Ovis aries: one gene and its partner. The main gene of each other region encodes a partner of the protein of the gene in region 2 in a complex. Links are inferred from orthologs where the notes say so. Each region holds a gene or a part of one and is shown on either strand. Other genes may lie near its edges. The genes, in order: SOST and LRP6.

Region 1 (4,542 bases), on a different chromosome or scaffold from region 2:
ACTTGGGAAGCAGGTATCAGAGGGGGCCCTTCCTGCAGGGGCTTCTGTCTGGCTTGTAAAACTGTCAGAGCAGCTGCATTTATGTGTTGAGTGATGGATGATGGAAAGGAGGGACAGACGGCCGCAGATGGACACAGTGACTTACAAGTCGAGGCAGGTGGCAGAGTGTGGGGTGTGCAGGTGGGGTGTGCTGATTCATTGCCCAGTGAAAATACCAAATACCACAGTCCACTTCCCAGCCTCCTTCGAGGCCTGGAGCGAGTGTGCCTCCTCAAACAATCCGTCTGCCACGAACGCTTCCGCGGGTGCGCCTTTCTTTTCCTGCACCTCAGGTGTGAATCTTCCTCCCCCTCCCTGGGCCCTCTTTGTTTTCCAGGGTGTGTTTGTGTGCTCAATCACTCAGTCATGTCCAACTCTTTGCAACGTTATGGACTATAGCCTGCCAGGCTCCTCTGTCCATGGGACTCTCCAGGCAAGAATACTGGAGTGGGTTGCCATACCTTTCTCCAGGGGATCTTTCCAACCCAGAGATAGAACCCAGGTCACCAGCATTGTGGGCGACCTGAGCCACCAGGGAAAGGTAGCGATTCCTTCTGAGCTCTCTGTGGCTAGCTGGACCTGGTACTGCTTCACCGAATGCATCCATCCCATGCTCTGCACCAATAAGGTTTTCCACACAGGACTCAAAGCGGGTTTTGAAAAATGTAATGGTCTGGGAAACAAGAAAAAAAAAATGTCAGCACTAAAAATGCTGGCTTCCACTTTTGCTAAGAAAAGGGATTTTGTGCTCTCTACTTCTACCCACAGCATGGCCCGGGAAATAACTGCCCGTGGCACATCAGCCTGCCAAGAAGTGCCTGTCACCAAGCACAAGATCTCCAGGGAGCCTGAGCCGAGGTTTCCTCCTTGTCTCCATCACCAGAGCCTGTTGACCTCTCACCCTGGCCTGGAAACCAGAATCCCTGCCCCCTCGGAAGTAGAAGCCCCTGCTGTGACCCTCCAGATTTCCCTCTTGCCTTCCAGAGGGATGATGACAAGAGGGGCCTTCTTGGTCAGGATAATTGATGCTGAGCCACATGTAGGCCAATGAGAGTTCTTAAAAAGCTGCCTTCTGCCTCTGCCTGGGTCCGTGGGGGCCAATAGACACCATCGTTTTATTTTGGTGGGGTGACAAATGAACTTGGCCTGAGAGGTGGGATCAGCAGGGCTAAGACCTGCAGAGAACTCAGAGCTGTAGTTTGCTTCATTAAGCTAGTGCTGAGTTTGTTTTGAGAAAGCCTGAGGGGCCCAGGGAGGTAGAGATGAGGAGCTGGAGCTCGTTTTGATATCCGAAAACTGCAGCCGCCTGCACGTGGGAGGCGCTGAGAGCAGGCTTGCCTCACACGCCCCCCTCACCATTGGTCACCTGGGAGCACCAGCAGCAATTTGGGAGATTTCTGAGCTCAAGGAGGAGTCTTTGGGGAGGGCTTGCCTGGAGCACACCCCGTTCCCTCCTCCTGGGCTGAGGGAAGCATGGGACCAGCCCTGCCCCAGCCTGTCCTCATTGGCTGGCATGAGGCAGAGGGGGCTTTAAAAAGGCAAACGTGTCCAGGCTGGGGACTGGAGCCTGTGCTACTAGGAAGGCCGAGTGCCCTCCTCCAGCTGGCACTATGCAGCTCTCTCTTGCCCTGTGTCTCGTCTGCCTGCTGGTGCATGCAGCCTTCCGCGTGGTGGAGGGCCAGGGGTGGCAGGCCTTCAAGAATGATGCCACGGAAATCATCCCTGAGCTGGGCGAGTACCCCGAGCCTCTGCCAGAGCAGAACAACAAGACCATGAACCGGGCGGAGAACGGAGGGAGACCTCCCCACCACCCCTTTGAGACCAAAGGTATGTGACGCAGGAGAGTATTTTTAGCATAAGGGTCCTGGGAAGGTTCTCTTTGGGACTGTTACCAGCACCAGTGGACAGACAACTTTGCCAGGAAGCCAGGGAAAGATGCCATGTCAGCTGTATCCTTAGAACTCAAGTGCGAGGGCGTGGGGCTGACAGGGTCCTGGGAGTGAAAGTGCAGAGCAGGAGGGAGGCTGCGGTGGTGGGTGCAGCTCTGGGACAGGCTCAGGGGCTCAGAAAGGAGATTTCAAAGAATCCCCTCCTGAGAAGAGAGGAGTAGGGTCCAACTGCTGACCCCACTGGGGAGGGGACAAGACAAGGGAGCTTCACGTCTGTGAGCACCCGCTAGATGCAGTCGCTACATGGACTATGCCTGGACCGTACCCCAGGGAACTCCCAAGGTCCTCCTCCCAAGGAGGCTTCAGAGATGAAGTGGCTTGTTAAGCCAGCTGAGATTTGAAGCTAGTTTGATCCAATTACAAGACAGCCCTGGAAGGGGACTACATAGGGGATGTCGGAGGCCAAAAGTCACAACGAATCCTGGCAAAGCAGTGAGAAAGGGACGCCAGAGGGGCACCCCTTCAGCCCCCACCACCCATGATCTACCCAGTGAGCTGGCCCTTGAAGGAATGGGCGCTGCAGCTACCTGAGTGGGGGCCCTGGAGGGGAAGCAGCATCCTTGGGGCCGGGCATGGACACAGGTGGCACCCTCTGTCCTGAGTCGCCACCCTAGATCTAGCCTTGCCTCCTTCCTGGGAGGGAGCCTGACCCTAGTGAAAGGGCAGAGACCCCACCTGGGTCCCTGGCTGGGTCTGCACAGAGAAGCCTGAGGGGCAGCATGCGTAGCTGGCTCTGCAGATGGCAGGAATGGCTGGGGGCAGGGGGCCGGAATGATGCTTCAGAGGAAGGCCCTCTGGCCGCAGTCCAGGTGGGAGAGGAGTCCACAGCCCTGGCCCTGGGATCCCATCCTGCCCTGCCTCCCAACCAGCTGGGAATGGGGGCTCTGCAGAGGGCACGCCAGAGGAGCCGTGCCTCTCCCCTGCTCCTGCCCAGGGAAGATCAAGTAAACTCAAGGGATGGGCTGTAAGGAACCCAAGATGTCCACCTCTCTGGGTTCCCATGAATGCCACAGGTGCAGAGGAAGCCACGTGCTCCGGAGTCACCCTGTGCAGAGGAAGCACTTGACCTAGGGGTACTATTCTTGGAAAGCCCCAAGCCTCCTTCCCTGGGCAAACAGGCCGCCCCCACACACCACCCCTGCGGGCCTAGGAGCAGGGGCAAGGGTGCCAAACCAGACCAGAAACAAAAGGCCAGCTGGGGGCGGAAGGTAACCCCCCACACACCCTGCTGCTGTGCTTATTCTACAAGGTAGGGGTGTGGGGGGCTGGCCTTGTCTGTCTCCTCTCTGGTTTTGGTCATAGGACTATTTTTCATCCCTTTGTGTCACATTGAAACTGTCCCTATGAGACCCCTGGGGATGGACAGGTGCTCACATGAGGACCAGCTGTTTAAAAAAGCTCCTACCAGTCTAAGTCCATAGTAGGAGACATGATCAAGGTGTCTTCAGGCATCAAGCCAGACCTTAGAGCCCAATCTTCCCCCGCCCAGGGAGCAGGTCTATGCCACCATTGGGTGTCCACAGAATAGCACAGAAGAGATGAGCCCAGCGCCCAGCACAGTGCCTGGTACACACCAGGTACTTAGTAAGTGTTTGTGGCAACTGAAGCTTTAGGTTTTCAGTCAGATCTTAGCCCCCTGATAGGGAAGGAACGATAGTAAAAGTAGTAAAAGGCAGCCCTTTGGCCCCCCTCACTCCTCCACTCAACATCCCATGGTGCCCAGGCACACAACTTCCACTTTGCGGGAGCCTGGAGGTGCAGGGGCCTCAGAGGCGCAGAGTCAGGAGACCAGCTCTGCCTTTCCGGAAGGAGCTTTTCCTTCTCCGGGCCTCAGTGATAATGAGGGGGTTGGAGGTGCTGCCATCGGCTCCTTTCAAGTCTAAGGACTTCAGTCCCCTCTCCACCTCTCCTTCCATCCCTCTCCTCCTCAGTAGCTGCTCTGATTTATTACCGTCAATTAACCCCTACTCCTTTCTCCATCCCCTCTGCACCCTGTCACTCCTCCCAACCAGCTAGAAAAGGAATTTGGGAGAAGTCAGAGACATTCAGAAGGTGTGGCTAATAACTACCCTGCTGAGGCCAGGGGCCCTGTGGGACAGATGTGACTTAAGTCTGGTGAAGAGGACCCCCTTGGAGAGGAATAATAACTGTAATAGCACCAACACTTCCAGCTCTTACTGTGTTCTAAGCAGCATCCCCTGAATTATATATGTAAAGGATTGGCTCATTGAATCTTCAAGACAACCCATTTTACAGATAGGAAGCACACAGAGGTTAAGCAACTTGTCCAAGGTCACACAGTCATGGAACTGATATTCGAACCGAAGCAGTCACTTGGCTCCAAAGTTTTAGGGTGAGAAGGTGGACCCGTGATCTTTCCACCAGCTCCAGAGTAATTGGGCCCTTCCCATAATAGACCCCCAGGGGCAAAAGCGTCTGGGGAGAGGCAGGTCTGGGGCGGGCAGGGGTGGTTTGGGGGGAGCCGGGCCGGGTGGCCGTCCTCACGCGCGCCTCTCTCCGCAGACGCCTCCGAGTACAGCTGCCGAGAGCTGCA
Region 2 (3,809 bases):
ATCCCTCTGAACAACAACAAAAAAAAGAGTACAGCTTACCAAGCATATTTGAAGACTCTATCAAGTTGGTGTCCAGGTCTGTCCAATAAAGCCTCCTTTTAGCATAATCAATGGTTAAGCCGTTTGCTCGTCCTACATTGGGAACTAGCGTAGTACGTTCACTTCCATCCATGGCAGCTCTGTCTATTTTAGGTTTTCCACCCCATTCAGTCCAGTACATAAATCTAAATTCAAACCAATGGATACTTAACATTTCACTTTTGATTACTTGGGAGAAACGATCATATTCATGTATGGTAACTAAGTAAATTTAAAGAAAATATACACTAAATCAAGGAAATTGGCAAAGCAAAATCAAAGCTATTAATTTTTTCAATTACATTGGCAGTCTCAACTAAATATTTTTTCTCATATCCTAAAAAGGAAGTGAGTCAACTTTCCTTAGTGTTTCCAATGAATCTGTTCCATCCAAAACCTAGGAATTGGACACAAACCCATGGTTTCCTTATTGCAGCACTTGCATTTATAAAACTAATATTCAAAAAGAAGATAGCAAAGGATTAAAGTGCTGGTCTCAGAATTTGACTCACTTCAGAACAAAATACATGTATTTCTGAAGACAAGAAATTCGACTTTTTAAATTTTTAAAACTTACTTTCTGATTTGTGTAAATCACTCTCCCAAAAACCAAGCTGCCGCAGTACATCAAAGGTACAACTTAACAACTGTGAACTGAAGTTTAAAAGCAAAGTTTGAAATGCATTTGGTCACATTGTCCAAGGTAACATACTACTGAATCGCACACATCCCTTAGTGTGTCAGCTGAGCAATGAACACTACTACTACAGTCCCTGTGAATGTACTCTTTTGGGTTTTTCACATTAACTGTAGAGCAACCGCACAGTACAGACTTTTGCAGATGAGGATGACAAGGTCCAACAAGAAGTGCAACTGATCTGTCTAATGTCTTCAAGCCAGGCATATGGCAGAGCTAGAACTAGAAGGTAATTCTCAGCCAAATGCCTTTTGGACTGAACCAGTAGTGCTAGTTTCAAGACGCTTTGAATACTGGGTCTAGGAAAGTTCTCCGCGTGCCAGGTCTCATCAACTACTCAAAGGAGACATTCATTCACCAGCCCATCGGCTGATGGTTGACTTGGTAGCAATGTATAAACACATTTTTCTGAAAACTCAAGCTGTCTTGGGCTTTGTTCTTTGTTTGCATTTGTACTTGTCAGCTAACAGGCACGAGTACATCCCAAGAGCCAAAGAGAAAACAACTGTGGGAGAAACGTCACAGTTGCCAGCAGCCACGTAAACTAGAGTCCTTTGTCCCAACTACTAAATTTATCTGTCTGGTAACTAGTAGCCAGAGTAAAAATCACCATAAACTAATCAAAACATGTCAGCACAGAGATGGTGCCTTTGGTATGACTTTCTAACTGCATGGCCAGCAAGCTAACCAGGGAATTGACTGATTCAGGGAAACAACTTTGCAATATGGCCATGGTCAATGTGCTGCTATGTTCACAAGGTTAACTTCTGCTTTTTAAAATGGAGTTATTCTTCAAAATTCAGCATTCTTACATGATGGATTTTTTTGTTGCTGTTGTTCAGTCGTCCAGTTGTGTCCAATTCTTTGCGACCCCATGGACTGCAGCACACCAGGCCTCCCAGTCCCTCACCATCTCCCAGAGTTTCCCCAAGTTCATGTCCATTGCATCAGTGATGCCATCCAGCCATCTCATCCTCTGACACCCTCCTCTCCTTCTGCCCACAATCTTTCCCAGCATCAGGGACTTTTACAATGAGCCAGCTGTTTGCATCAGATGACCAAAATACTGGAGCTTCAGCTTCAGTATCAGTCCTTCCAATGAGTATTCAGGGTTGATTTCCCTTATGATTGACTGGTTTGATCTCCTTGCTGACCAAGGGACTTTCAGGAGTCTTCTCCAGCACCACAGTTTGAAGGCATCAATTCTTTGGCATTCTGCCTTTACAGTCCAGCTCTCAAGACCATATGTGACCACTGTGAATACTGTAGCCTTGACTATACAGATCTCTTTTTAAAACTTGCTAAATCATGTAAGAAGGATCATCTATCCTTGAAAAACATGTCATGTTGTACATAAATTTATCAGAAAGTTCACTGTTTAATATCAAAGTTTCTCCAAGTTTATAATAATAACGAATTATCCATTCTTGAGTTAATGAACATTCTAAAGTAGAGCCTTTTAATGTAGTTATTTCTTAGCACACATTATTTCAGTGGGTTTATTTTCAGAGGTTTAGAATCTGGTATAACTTGGGAGAGAGTGGAAGCAAATAGATTTCATGACACCTTTCAAAAGGCTGTCTACTTAGCATATAAATACAATCATTAATATTTAACTAATAACTCATTTCACTAATTTTTATTCACCTAATGCTAATAATGACAAAAGTAAAATTTAGCTAATTATTTATCCTACATCAGTGAAATCTCAACTAACGATTTTAAGATAAAACGTTGATTTACCTGTCAGCTCCCCAAAAAGCATGATTTAAAGACATCAAGAATACAATCCATAACTAGGCCATGTGCAATACAGTTGCAAAGAACGGATATGAAAAGCTGTTTACCCTTCAGCGGGGTCCAACGCAAGAGCTCTAGGACTATCTAGGTCTTTCCACACCAAAACTTGTCGGTGCTGCCCATCCAACTTTGACACCTCAATTCGATTGGTTCCCGTGTCTGCCCAGTACAAGTTCTTCCCAAGCCAGTCTACGGCCATGCCTTCTGGATAATCTAAGCCAAATTCTACCACGTGTTCCAGGGCACTGCCATTCATAAAGGCTCTGCTGATAGTCTGCAGAAATAAGATTAACAACGTCACACGGCTTAGGTACCAAACCCTAAGATTTTAAGGGAAGATACAGAAGAGCCAAAGGCACAGTTTCTCAATACAATTCACCTATTTTATGAGCACAGAAAAAAAAAAAAAAAATGACGTCAACCTCCAATGAACACAACTGCGACCTCAAGTTTTATTGTCAATTCAGGGAGAAATTTTTCAAAGTCTTAAGAATCAGAAATTTATTCTAGTAATACAGTGGAGCGACTATTCTTATAAAACTTATTATTAGTAATCAAGTGAAAAAGATGTGACCAGAGTATTGTGGACTTTTAACTGGTTGCCAGTTTCCTGACTTCCAACCTGGTGGCTCAGATGGTAAAGAATCCGTCTGCATTGTAAGGGGCCCAAGTTCTGCCTCTGGGTCGGGAAGACTCCCTGAAGAAGGGAACAGCAACTCACTACAATATTCCTGCCTGGAGAATTCCATGGACAGAGGAGCCTGGCGGGCTACAGTCTATGGGGTTGCAAAGAGTCAGACATGACTGAGCGACTAACACACACAGAGCTTCCTAAAGGTGCTTGAGAGTATGCGAAGTCATTGCATTAACTGAGGAAGAGCTCAACAACCTTATACCTTATAAAATGCATATGACACTACTCATATCATTACCATTATAGCTATGAATCACCTAAAAATTAAAACAGTCATAATTTAAGCTATTAATAATAGCTCCTACTTCATAGAAAGTACCATCCTAAGTGCTTGGTGTACATATATTTTCTCATTTAATGCTCACAAAAGCATCTCTGCTTTCAAGATGAGGAAAGTCACAAGTCCACATAATAAAGCATTTATTTACTCACTCATTTAACAGATTTTACTGGCCACCATTACAGTCTAACCCTGGCTCTAACATGATTTTTGCATATTAGACAAAGTTTTACATAAGCTATCTAAAACAGGTCCAGAAG

The links.
Region 1: the proteins of LRP6 (region 2) and SOST are in contact, whole or in part, in a crystal structure (PDB 6L6R), measured with the Homo sapiens proteins. The link is inferred for Ovis aries from reciprocal best matches to the Homo sapiens genes LRP6 and SOST. Residues at the interface, in NP_001401174.1 of Homo sapiens: Arg28, Asp52, Val70, Ser71, Glu73, Leu95, Ser96, Asp98, Glu115, Arg141, Trp157, Trp183, Asn185, Ala201, His226, Phe228, Trp242, Met269, Arg336, His361, Asp379, His404, Asp406, Thr422, Glu447, Arg449, Trp465, Trp491, Asn493, His534; in NP_079513.1 of Homo sapiens: Leu115, Pro116, Asn117, Ala118, Ile119, Gly120, Arg121, Arg169, Thr171, Arg172, His174, Asn175, Gln176, Ser177.

The regions. Positions count from the first base shown.
Region 1 is NC_056064.1:43,393,523-43,398,064, reverse strand, and holds the start of SOST (sclerostin), read left to right. Parts: upstream 1-1,597; 5' UTR 1,598-1,649; coding exon 1,650-1,866; intron 1,867-4,511; coding exon 4,512-4,542. UniProt on the Homo sapiens protein: Negative regulator of bone growth that acts through inhibition of Wnt signaling and bone formation.
Region 2 is NC_056056.1:203,318,801-203,322,609, reverse strand, and holds part of LRP6 (low-density lipoprotein receptor-related protein 6), read right to left. Parts: intron 2,850-3,809; coding exon 2,623-2,849; intron 225-2,622; coding exon 40-224; intron 1-39. UniProt on the Homo sapiens protein: Component of the Wnt-Fzd-LRP5-LRP6 complex that triggers beta-catenin signaling through inducing aggregation of receptor-ligand complexes into ribosome-sized signalosomes.